Arabidopsis thaliana: one gene and its partner. The protein of the gene in region 2 interacts with the protein of the main gene of each other region in a pairwise test. Each region holds a gene or a part of one and is shown on either strand. Other genes may lie near its edges.

Evidence for each region.
Region 1: the proteins of NAP7 (region 2) and CPK13 interact in a protein complementation assay, tested with the Arabidopsis thaliana proteins (one large-scale study listed by BioGRID).

What each region holds. Positions count from the first base shown.
Region 1 is NC_003074.8:19,230,730-19,236,636, forward strand, and holds CPK13 (calcium-dependent protein kinase 13), read left to right. Parts: upstream 1-1,628; 5' UTR 1,629-1,937; coding exon 1,938-2,562; intron 2,563-2,771; coding exon 2,772-2,915; intron 2,916-3,069; coding exon 3,070-3,222; intron 3,223-3,367; coding exon 3,368-3,483; intron 3,484-3,573; coding exon 3,574-3,741; coding exon of another isoform or gene 3,742-3,786; exon of another isoform or gene 3,787-3,802; intron 3,803-3,936; coding exon 3,937-4,167; coding exon of another isoform or gene 4,168-4,251; exon of another isoform or gene 4,252-4,379; intron 4,380-4,647; coding exon 4,648-4,797; 3' UTR 4,798-5,162; downstream 5,163-5,907. UniProt on the Arabidopsis thaliana protein: May play a role in signal transduction pathways that involve calcium as a second messenger.
Region 2 is NC_003074.8:3,334,376-3,339,296, forward strand, and holds NAP7 (non-intrinsic ABC protein 7), read right to left. Parts: upstream 3,072-4,921; 5' UTR 2,930-3,071; coding exon 2,570-2,929; intron 2,378-2,569; coding exon 2,327-2,377; intron 2,222-2,326; coding exon 2,000-2,221; intron 1,872-1,999; coding exon 1,749-1,871; intron 1,302-1,748; coding exon 1,125-1,301; intron 1,034-1,124; coding exon 950-1,033; 3' UTR 629-949; downstream 1-628. Other genes in the region: AT3G10680 (HSP20-like chaperones superfamily protein), read left to right, coding at 3,398-3,536, 3,637-4,921. UniProt on the Arabidopsis thaliana protein: Essential protein. Required during embryo development, especially at early stages. Involved in chloroplast differentiation.

The DNA of each region.
Region 1 (5,907 bases), about 16 Mb from region 2:
GTGTGAATGCATCTCCACATCTTGAGATTTGGTTGGTTAACATTGGGTTAAATGTGAACGCGTCTTTGGAATAGTATATAATAATAATTTAGACGCGCGTTTGTTAACTTTCAAACATTTTTGTGAACCACGCTCCACCAAATAAGACATGTGGTGGACGTTGCAACTAGATTTACGCATCTTGATGGGTTTCCAAAAATGGTAAGTAGAAATTGGTTTTCTCTCAAAAGCACCATTATTTAGGGTTTGGGAATGAAAAAAGTTTGTATCTTTATCGTTATGATTTTACTCATGCTAAACCAAAGGTTTCTTCATCGCGTTTTGGACTTCGTCTTATCTACCGCCCTATGTGTTACATGATACGACATATATGATACCCAGAAAAAAATTCATGTGTGCGGGACAAAAAGCCTCAGATGACTTTTGATTTTGAAAAACTATGATCATTTTTAAAAAAGTTGTAGAAATTAAATCATTTTGAACTATTCGATGCAACCAACCTATCTAAAAATGAAGTAAATTCCGCAATTTTAGATAGATGGACATCCTCAGATCACATCCATTTAAACTACCATAATACACGTAGATGGCTCTAGACCTCTAGTAGAAGATATGATACTACTATCTTTGATATGTCGACATTGGAAGATACATTTTACACCGTAGAGCTTTGTGGATATTTCGAAAGTAATTAGTGTATAATTCAAATCAATTAAATTTAGATATATAAATGTACCATTCTAATGCAAATCCTTTATAACAAAAAAAAAAAGGACTTTCCCAAAGGCCAAACAAATGATTGTTGACATTGACCACACGATCGTTTAGAAACATCACAAATTTTCAATCTCCTCCTAGTCTCCTAGGCTCATACCACTTACGTTCGCATGTTACATACCTTTTTTGAAATGGCCAGCTCATTTTTGATCAAATGAATACTGGATTTACAATGGGAAAAAATTCTGCATCTATGTTCTTAGATTTACAAAATAAACTAGAAATGTTCGTTTTAGTATTTTCTTTCTATGAAATAACTTGTTGTTTTATGAATTATGAGTCTAAAAATGGCATATTAGAACCAAAAAAGATTAGCACATGACATTTCAAAATCTTAAATGGTAACATTTTCAAGATTTTTATTCTATCATTAGTTGTTTCTATCATGACATTTCAAAATCTTAAATGGCATATTAGAACCAAAAAATTATTTGTTTTATTTTGTACGTACAATTACCATATTTTTATTCATTGTCATAGTTGTTCAGGTGGATCTTAGATATTTCAAAGTATAAAATTTGTGATCGTATTTTAGATGATTACACACATATCACATATGTAATGCACATAATATTTCCAAATTAAAGGTAAAATATTATTTTTACCGGAGTATGTATATATTCAATCCAGATTATTTTTAAAAAATTAGATTTTTTTTGAATGATCAGTCTTATCAAGAATTCAAAAGATAGTGTTGTTGTCAATCAAAATTACTAAAAGAAAATTGTTTAGTCAACATATATACGTACCTTAATAAATATTTTTCTTAGAATCTAAAGGAATTTACAGATGTTAAAATAAAATCCAATAAAGTGTAAATTTACCAAACAAGTAAAGACCATTTTTCAAAAAGAAAAAGAAACCAAGGAGACCAAATTATGATTGAGTTTTACAAAATACAGAAAATAAAGAAATTAAATAAATATCAAAAACTCAAAAGAGACCTCTCTTCTCTCTCTCTCTCTCTCTCTCGCTACTCTCATCTTCACCGTACGCTTCTTCGATCTACGCTTCTCTCTAGCTATAGCTTCCATTGTCACGATTCCTCCCAAAGCGTAGAATGTGGAACCCTAGATACCTCAAATTCAGCTAGAGATCTATCTACTTTCACCTCTATTACTTTCTACTTCTGAAACCCCTCATCAGAGCTACACACAGTGATGGGAAACTGTTGCAGATCTCCCGCAGCAGTTGCTAGAGAAGACGTGAAATCCAACTATTCCGGCCACGATCACGCCCGCAAAGACGCCGCCGGCGGTAAAAAATCGGCGCCGATTCGAGTTCTAAGCGATGTTCCCAAGGAAAACATCGAGGACCGTTACTTACTCGACAGAGAACTCGGCCGCGGCGAGTTTGGTGTCACTTACCTCTGTATCGAGAGGTCCTCGCGTGACCTACTCGCTTGCAAATCGATCTCCAAGAGGAAGCTTAGAACTGCTGTGGATATTGAAGATGTTAAAAGAGAAGTAGCGATTATGAAGCATTTGCCTAAGAGTTCGAGTATTGTTACTTTGAAAGAAGCTTGTGAGGATGATAATGCTGTGCATTTGGTTATGGAGCTTTGTGAAGGTGGCGAGCTTTTCGATCGGATTGTTGCGAGAGGTCATTATACGGAGCGTGCTGCTGCTGGTGTTACTAAGACTATTGTTGAGGTTGTGCAGCTTTGTCATAAGCATGGTGTGATTCATAGAGATTTGAAGCCCGAGAACTTTTTGTTTGCTAATAAGAAGGAGAACTCGCCTTTGAAAGCTATTGATTTTGGATTGTCGATTTTCTTCAAGCCAGGTCTGTTACTGCTTTTGATTTTAAAGTAGATTTCAATTCTCTAGCTTTTATTGTTGATTATTAGTGTTGTTGTAGTGGAATACTGGGTCATAGAGGGAGCTTCTAGTTTATTGTAGGATTTATGTTTCTTGATTGATACATACCTTTGATGTATTTTGACCAGTTTATTTGGTGTTGATGCTGTTTTTGTAATGCTTACATATGACCAGGTGAGAAATTCTCTGAGATTGTTGGGAGTCCATATTACATGGCACCTGAGGTGCTTAAGCGGAATTATGGACCCGAAATAGATATTTGGAGTGCTGGAGTGATTCTTTATATTCTCTTGTGTGGAGTTCCTCCGTTCTGGGCAGGTCTGTTAACCCCTTCCTCTCTTCTCTAGTCTTTCGATTTCCTCTGCCGGAGCATTTGCTAGTTTTTCGATTCCTCTGCCGGATTCTTATAATACCTTAGCATGCTAGTCTTTTGTAAATTGTAGTTTCAGCCAGTTTTTTCTTTGAACCACAGAGTCAGAACAGGGAGTTGCTCAGGCTATTCTGCGTGGAGTAATTGATTTTAAGAGGGAACCGTGGCCAAACATTTCTGAGACCGCTAAGAATCTAGTCAGACAAATGTTAGAGCCTGATCCAAAGCGTCGGCTGACTGCAAAGCAAGTGCTTGGTACATAGAAGCTACCTTTGCCTTATGCTCTTTCTCTCTGCATCTGTTATTATCTCTTTTCCCAATTACTTCACTGATCTGGAGATACTCCAAAAGATTTTTTTTATGCTTATTCCTGCTTTTGTTATTGTTTCTCATTTGCTAGAGCACCCATGGATTCAGAACGCAAAGAAAGCTCCCAATGTTCCTCTTGGAGATGTTGTGAAGTCGAGGTTGAAGCAATTTTCAGTGATGAACCGATTCAAGAGAAAAGCTTTAAGGGTTTGTTTATCTGATAAACTCTCATTCTTAATTACTTGCATGAGTCACTTCTTAAACGGAAGATATCTTTACTAATCTTATTCAAACCAGGTTATTGCCGAATTTTTATCTACGGAAGAAGTAGAAGACATCAAAGTAATGTTCAACAAGATGGATACTGATAATGATGGTATAGTTTCCATTGAGGAGTTGAAAGCCGGACTTCGTGATTTTAGTACACAGCTAGCGGAATCAGAAGTTCAGATGCTTATTGAAGCGGTGCACATATCTTTCCCTTCTACATCACCGTACATTTATTACTGATTGCTTGACTGAAGAAGTAGAGTCAAACTTCTTTTTGCATGATCTTATCATTCACTTCCCGCTTAATTTTTCAGTGATCTTTTTTTGTTCACGTTCACTATCCAGGTTCACTAAAATATTGTCTTGATAATTCAAATTTGTATAAAACAGGTGGATACTAAAGGAAAAGGAACTCTAGACTATGGAGAATTTGTAGCAGTGTCTCTCCACCTGCAAAAGGTAGCAAACGATGAGCATCTCCGCAAAGCCTTCTCTTACTTTGACAAGGATGGAAATGGGTACATTTTGCCCCAGGAGCTTTGTGACGCCTTAAAGGAAGATGGAGGAGATGACTGTGTGGATGTCGCCAATGATATATTCCAAGAAGTTGACACAGACAAGGTAAGTGTCAAATCTTCTGTCTATGGTATGATCTCATCATGTTCAAAAGAAACTCAAAAGAGCTTTCTTTTGCAAGAGTGTTAGGAAACCAAAGTTGTGAGGAAGTCCTAAAAAGGCACAAAGGACAGGAGATGTGACTTTAAATCTTTTTTCTTTTTGCGCTATTTGTTTGATGATAACCAAACCATTTGAATTTACAGTTTTACACATAGGTAATGGAAACATGCTTTGCAAAAAGTTCTTAAAAGCCTGAGGACAAAACATGTAGCTTTAAACACTTTTTTTCAGTTTTATTCTTTTGGCATTTGTCTGTTGTGTAAGCGGTCCCCATAAACTAAAGGCAAAAATGATTTCTCTGTTGTAGTGGAAATACTATCTGTAGAGAGTTCACTTCTCATATCGTTAAACAGAACCTTAGAGACTATAGTTAGTGTAAAAATGTTTCTTCTGGTTGTGCCTGACATGGATTTTTGACATTAGGATGGGAGAATAAGCTACGAAGAGTTTGCGGCAATGATGAAAACAGGAACGGATTGGAGAAAGGCGTCTCGTCATTACTCAAGAGGGAGATTCAATAGCCTAAGCATCAAGCTAATGAAGGACGGGTCTTTGAACCTAGGCAACGAATAGCGAATCAAAGTGAAGAAGCCGCAATAGGGTCTTTAGTGTCTGTCTCTCACGCCACGTTCTCGTGCACGTCAAGTATTAAACCAAGAGAAGGTAAAACTTGGGATTCAGAATTCATATCTTTTTGTACATCTTTCGTTTTTTAACCTTTCTATTTTTGGTGATTATGTTATCTGTGTTCTTTTTTTTATTGGTTTATGGGTTGAGTTGTGTTTGTTTAGTTTGTTCTGGTAGAAATCCAAAAGACATGAGAATCAGTGTTTGATGTGTAGAAGGAAAAAAAACCAAAGACCATTTCTGGTAATGATGTTGTAATATTCTTTTGTCTTCCTTAACCTCTATAATGATATGATGAGTCATTCACACAACCCTATCCTCTATTTTGCGCAAAGTTCTAAGCGATGATGACTTTGTATCAATCGGTAATATAATGACGCTTGTTTCAAATCAAACACGAAAGCTACCTAGTACCTACTTTTTCCCATCTCAGCTCTGAGTATCAACATCAGTGATTACACTAGCAATCCCTGCATTATTGACCTGCAAACCAAATCAAATAATCACTCAACGTTATACAAGAATCTTAACCAACTCTTATGAGCCTTTCTTTATTGGAGATCAATCACTTATCTGATAGGAACAAATTAACCACAAAAGGGACTTGCTTTCTTGTCAAAAGGTTACCAGTAACATCCTAGCTAGTGCCAATCGTTTTCAACAAGATTTGAGATTTTAGATGCTAAATCCAAAACCTATTTCATACTAAGTAAACTGATAGAGGATTGTACTAATCATACCAAGATATCCAAGTTTTCCAATTTTAGTATTCACAAATCTGTATGTAAAGAGTTGTGACACATGGAGCCGATGAATTATGAAATATAATATTCTGATTATAAAGGCCTTTGTCTACAACTTCAAGTCCCTTTTTATCAGCTCTAGAGGTCAAAACTACGCTAATCATTTTGCTACCTAATTGTCTGCCAATATTTAGCCCAATCCCTCTGTGTGCAGCAGAAACTATATCACTAGGTTATTGCCTTATTGGATTGGATATTTGCATTGCATTTTAGAATCCAATTACAATGTTGTGTTATTCAATCAATAATTTAC
Region 2 (4,921 bases):
CACTAAAAGTGAAAGTCAAATCTCTTTATAATCTAAGACTTGGTTCTCTTGTGCAACGACAATATATAGGATTTGATCACTCCGGATCAGGCAATGATTTTAAAAACTCCGAACACCGATGGAACAAGCAAAAACCCTACTCGGGTCGATGCAACGGATGAATCTTGCACAACAACAATCAATCTGCCACAAGAAAAAAATCAAAATTTTCAAAATGGGAAAATCGAAAGTTTAAACGAACCCAACACAAAGAACGATGCAATGAACCGAATCCAGACAACAGAAATTGTCTGAAAACAAAGAGATCGATCTGGGATTGAAAAGAAAAGGAACAATATTGGTTTGGTATTTGTCGGAAAATAAGGGAGGGAAATCGAGAGAATGCTTAAAAGCACTACATTTGCATAAAAAGCTAAAGGGAGGTGTAATCTTGTTCGATAAGTCAATTACGAAGAAGATGAAGATGATGAAGGAAATTGATTGAACGAGTTTGAAAAACGCGTTTGGGTTTAATAATCATCAGCGAATTTTGCGTTCTTCTTGTCATAAATTATGAATTTGTTTTCTATTACCAACTCGTTCCAGCAGCAGCAGGCGATAGAATAATCAAATTAAATTTTATTTTGTCAAATTTCTCAAGTAATGTAAGTAACCACTAGGTTTGATTGGATTTGATCCACTTAAAGTCTCAAACTTTATAAGAGCATTTATAATAACAAAATTTATTAACTGAATTTTAAACTTGTTAGTTACAAAAAGGTGTGGAATACTGTTCACATCCCAATAAAGTAGTTTGTCATGCAAATTGCAAACCAAAACTACGGGTCAAAGATTGTAGTGATAGATTTCAGTTTCCAATCATCAGCTTTAGCTTCCATTGTATTTGTCCCATATAATAACCATGGTCTCTCAAAGAAGGAAGACAGGTTATATGTATGATCCGCGATAACTAACCGGATATCGCTTTGTAGCCTTCCTTTTCCAGTAGTTTGGCCAAGGAGTTGTCTCCGGTTTTAATGATTCTCCCATTCTCCTGAAACCCAAGGAAACATACATGAGCTTACCAAAATATATATGATCATTGTGTAGCCAGTAAAGAAGGCTGGTTTGGCAACAATGCTCACCATGATATGTATGAGAGTTGGTTTGATGTAGTCAAGTAGGCGTTGGTAGTGCGTTATCATCAGAACAGAGTTTTTTGGTGTCAAAAGCCCGTTCACCGCCTTTGCCACATCTTGAAGAGCATCAACATCCAACCCTGAATCAATCTCGTCCAGTATAGCCAACTCAGCTCCAAGGACCTGCAAGGACAGGAAAACGTTGCATTAGCGTACTTCCATGACCTCTTTCCATATATTGCTTACAAAGAATAGGAGACTAATAGTGTTCTCATGTTATCGATAAACCAGAAATGACCACTCCTTGGGAGGCAGATATTTCAAGATCAGGAAAATATAAAGAGATATGAAGACATATAACATGCCATGTCTTTTTAGCTAAAACTGCAGTCAAATACTTGTAATAGAATACTAACTGCCATGCAATAACCGCGTCTACTTATGGTAAAACCTGTAACTGCTTAAGCTAATCTACCCAGATATCCTGAAATTCCTAACTATTAGCCTTGTGGTTTTGCACACTGTAGCATGGAACAAGCTTAGTAATCCACTACCTTCTCTAATCACATTTGTTTCTTATCATATGCAGTCCTTATGGATACTGAGAAACAAGGGAAGCAGAACCATTACCGCTAACTGTAGAATCTCATTGCGTTTCCTTTCACCACCACTAAATCCTTCATTGACATTTCTGTTGAGAAAATCGGTCTTCATATTCACAACTTCGAGTTTTGATACCAAGTGGCTGTAGAACTGCATGAGCCATGTGATATCAGTAAGACATAATACATAGACAGTTCTACAATTGGGACCATTTAGCAAACAACAACAAGTAAGAAACAGTGCAAACCAAATCCAAGTCATTTAATTCGATAAGGCACCTGGATTGGATCAAGCTCTGGCTGACCAAGCTTTCTTTTCCGAGCATTGAATGCCATATTCAAGAAATCCATATTGCTAACACCAGGGATCTCAACTGGGGACTGGAAACTCATAAAGAGACCGGCAAGAGATCTATCCTCTGGTTCCATATCAAGTAGATTCTGCCCTTTAAACACAATACTCCCTCCCGTCACTTCATAATCGGGATGACCAACAAGAACCTACAAATAATAAGACTCTCACTAAGATAACAAACAGAAAGAGAACAATACTCTGCAGCATCAATGTTAATCCTGAGATACAAGATATACAAATAAAATGTTCACCTTCGAAAACGTGCTCTTTCCTGAACCGTTCTTCCCCATCACTGCGTGAACCTATTAGCAACCACAAAAGAAGCCATGGATTACAATCGGCAGCAATGCAAAACAAATCCACACAAATAGAATTCACAAGTTATGATATCAAACTCAAAACTTTATCATATAATGAGACAGCACTACCAGGCAAAGCTTTCTGCAAATTAAATTTCAAGTCTTAACCATAAAATTGCATTGATTAATACGCACCTCTCCTTCGTAGACAACCAAATTGACGCCTTTCAGTATCTCTTGTCTCGATTCAGCAATCACTGCTCTCAAATCCCTAACTTCAAGCAACGGGATCCTCCCCACGTCATCACGATCTTCCACCAACGAATCCGAATCGACGGCTGAGGATACGGAAGACGCCGAAACAATAACTGAACGGCGAGTAGTTCGCAGGATTGGAGCGGCGGCGGAATTAGCTCGGAGATTGCATAATAGAACACGAGAGGGTGAAGTCCCGAGGCGAACTCGCTGAGTAGGAAGAGGAGGAGGAGAAGAAACAGTTGGAACGAATTGAGCTATGGAGTATGCGTGACGGAGCTGTAGGTTAACGCCGGCCATGGAGACAGAAATTGCGGCGGAAGAAGACGGTGGAGGTTTTATCCGGTGAAGTGATGTGGTTAGTTAGGTCCAGGGATTCTTTTAATTTCACATGTTGAATGCCACGTAATATATATATCGGCTACTAGCTTAATTAAAATGGAAACAAAAAAAAAATGGAAATAACAAATAAAACGACATCACTTTGTGTTGATACGCATATTCTTCAAAACCTTAAAAGCTTCTTTCCTTGAAGTACAAGAAACTATTTACACATATGAGACCTTGGGATGAAGAAACAGACAAAGTCCATACCCTAAAGCAATCCTAAACCCATACCGTAATCTCAAAATCTCTTCTTACCTCTCTTTCTATCTTATATACATCATTCAAACATTTTTTATGTTTTCATATACAGTTTGATTCATTTATTTCGTAAAGGCTTTGAACTTTTTGTCCTGATATAGTGTGATCTATATATAAACATATATGGCGGCGATTTTCAAGAGACCAAGGCCGGGAGGTGGCCGTCATCCGCCACCGCTGGCTCCGACAGTGAGTAGTTTCAAGCCGAGAGCTCAATGGACTAACTCCGGATCTTCCATTTTCCTCTACGTTAATCTTCCTGGTCTTTTTTCTTCTCTCTTTCTTTCTTTTTGTTTCTTGAGATCAAACTTTAATTGATAACAAACTTTATGAATTTCTCGTTTATTGTGTGGAACCGGCAGGGTTTTATAGGGATCAAATAGAAATAAAAAAGGATGAGAGGACAAGGACTGTCCAGATTCAAGGCCAGCGACCGCTCTCTGCTCAGACTAAGGCTCGTTTCAGTGAAGCTTACCGTGTCCCTGATACCTGTGACATGACCAAATTGAGCACCTCCTTCTCACATGGACTCTTGACCATCGAGTTTCCAGCAATCGTGGAAGCTAACAAACAGGAGAAAGCAGTCCAAGATCAGGAGAAGATTGGACAGAGGTCTAATCAGGAGAAAAGTGGAGGGCCTGGTCCTAATGGGAGTACCTTGGGACGAAAGAAAGCTTTGGAGGAGGAGAAACAAGTGGGAACAAGTCAAGAGAAAACCACTCCAACGTTGAATGAAGAAGCACCCAAAACGTATAAATCAGTGGTTGAGGGTAAAAGAGCAGTGCCAACGGGCAGTCAAGAGAAGTCTGAAGCGAAAGTTAAAGCGCGAGAGGCAATCCCTAGCTTAGGGGGAAGAGAACGTGCGAAAGAAGAGAAGGTGGTTGAGAGAAAGGAGGCTGCTCACATAGTTCAGCAAAAGATAGGAGATAAATTGAAGGAGGAAGAGGCTAAAAGTACACCAACCCTTGGTGGTAGCTTAAAACCTAAGGTACAGGCAAAAGAAGAGAAAGTAATTGAGAGAAAGAAAGATGATGATATAAGTCAGCTTAAGACTGGACAGAAGGTGAAGGAAAAAGAGATTAGCAGAACGCCGACCATAGATGCTAGAGTGGAATCCAAGGAACATGCCAAAGTTGTTGAGAAAAAGGAAGATGGTGAAATAGGTCAGAAGCTGGAGGGAGGAAGGATTAACTTGGGACCAAAGAAAGAAGATAAATTTACAAAACCAGTTGTTGGTGATGAGGCAAGAAGAATAGAGAAGAATGTTGCTCAGAGAAACCAAGCAGAGCCTAAGCTAAAAACGAAAGAGGGAGATGAAAGAATCAAACTGGATGTTGATGATGGCGTGAGAAACAAGCAGGATGAGAATAATGAGATGGTTGGAGACATGGTTAGTGAAGGAGAGATTCAAGACAGAGTGGAGCAGAAGAAGATAGACGAAGCTGGTTTAGCCAAAGATAGAGGCGATCTAAAGGATAATGCTGAAGTCGTGGAACCAGAAACCGGTCCATTACTAGTCAAAGAAGGACAGAAGAAGAGCGACATGGATCCTCCTCTTGCAGTAGGAGGAAGAGGAATGGGTGAAGAAGAGAGTCGGACATATGACATACCTTTGGTGAATGTTGGTGTAGCTGCTCTTGTGATTAT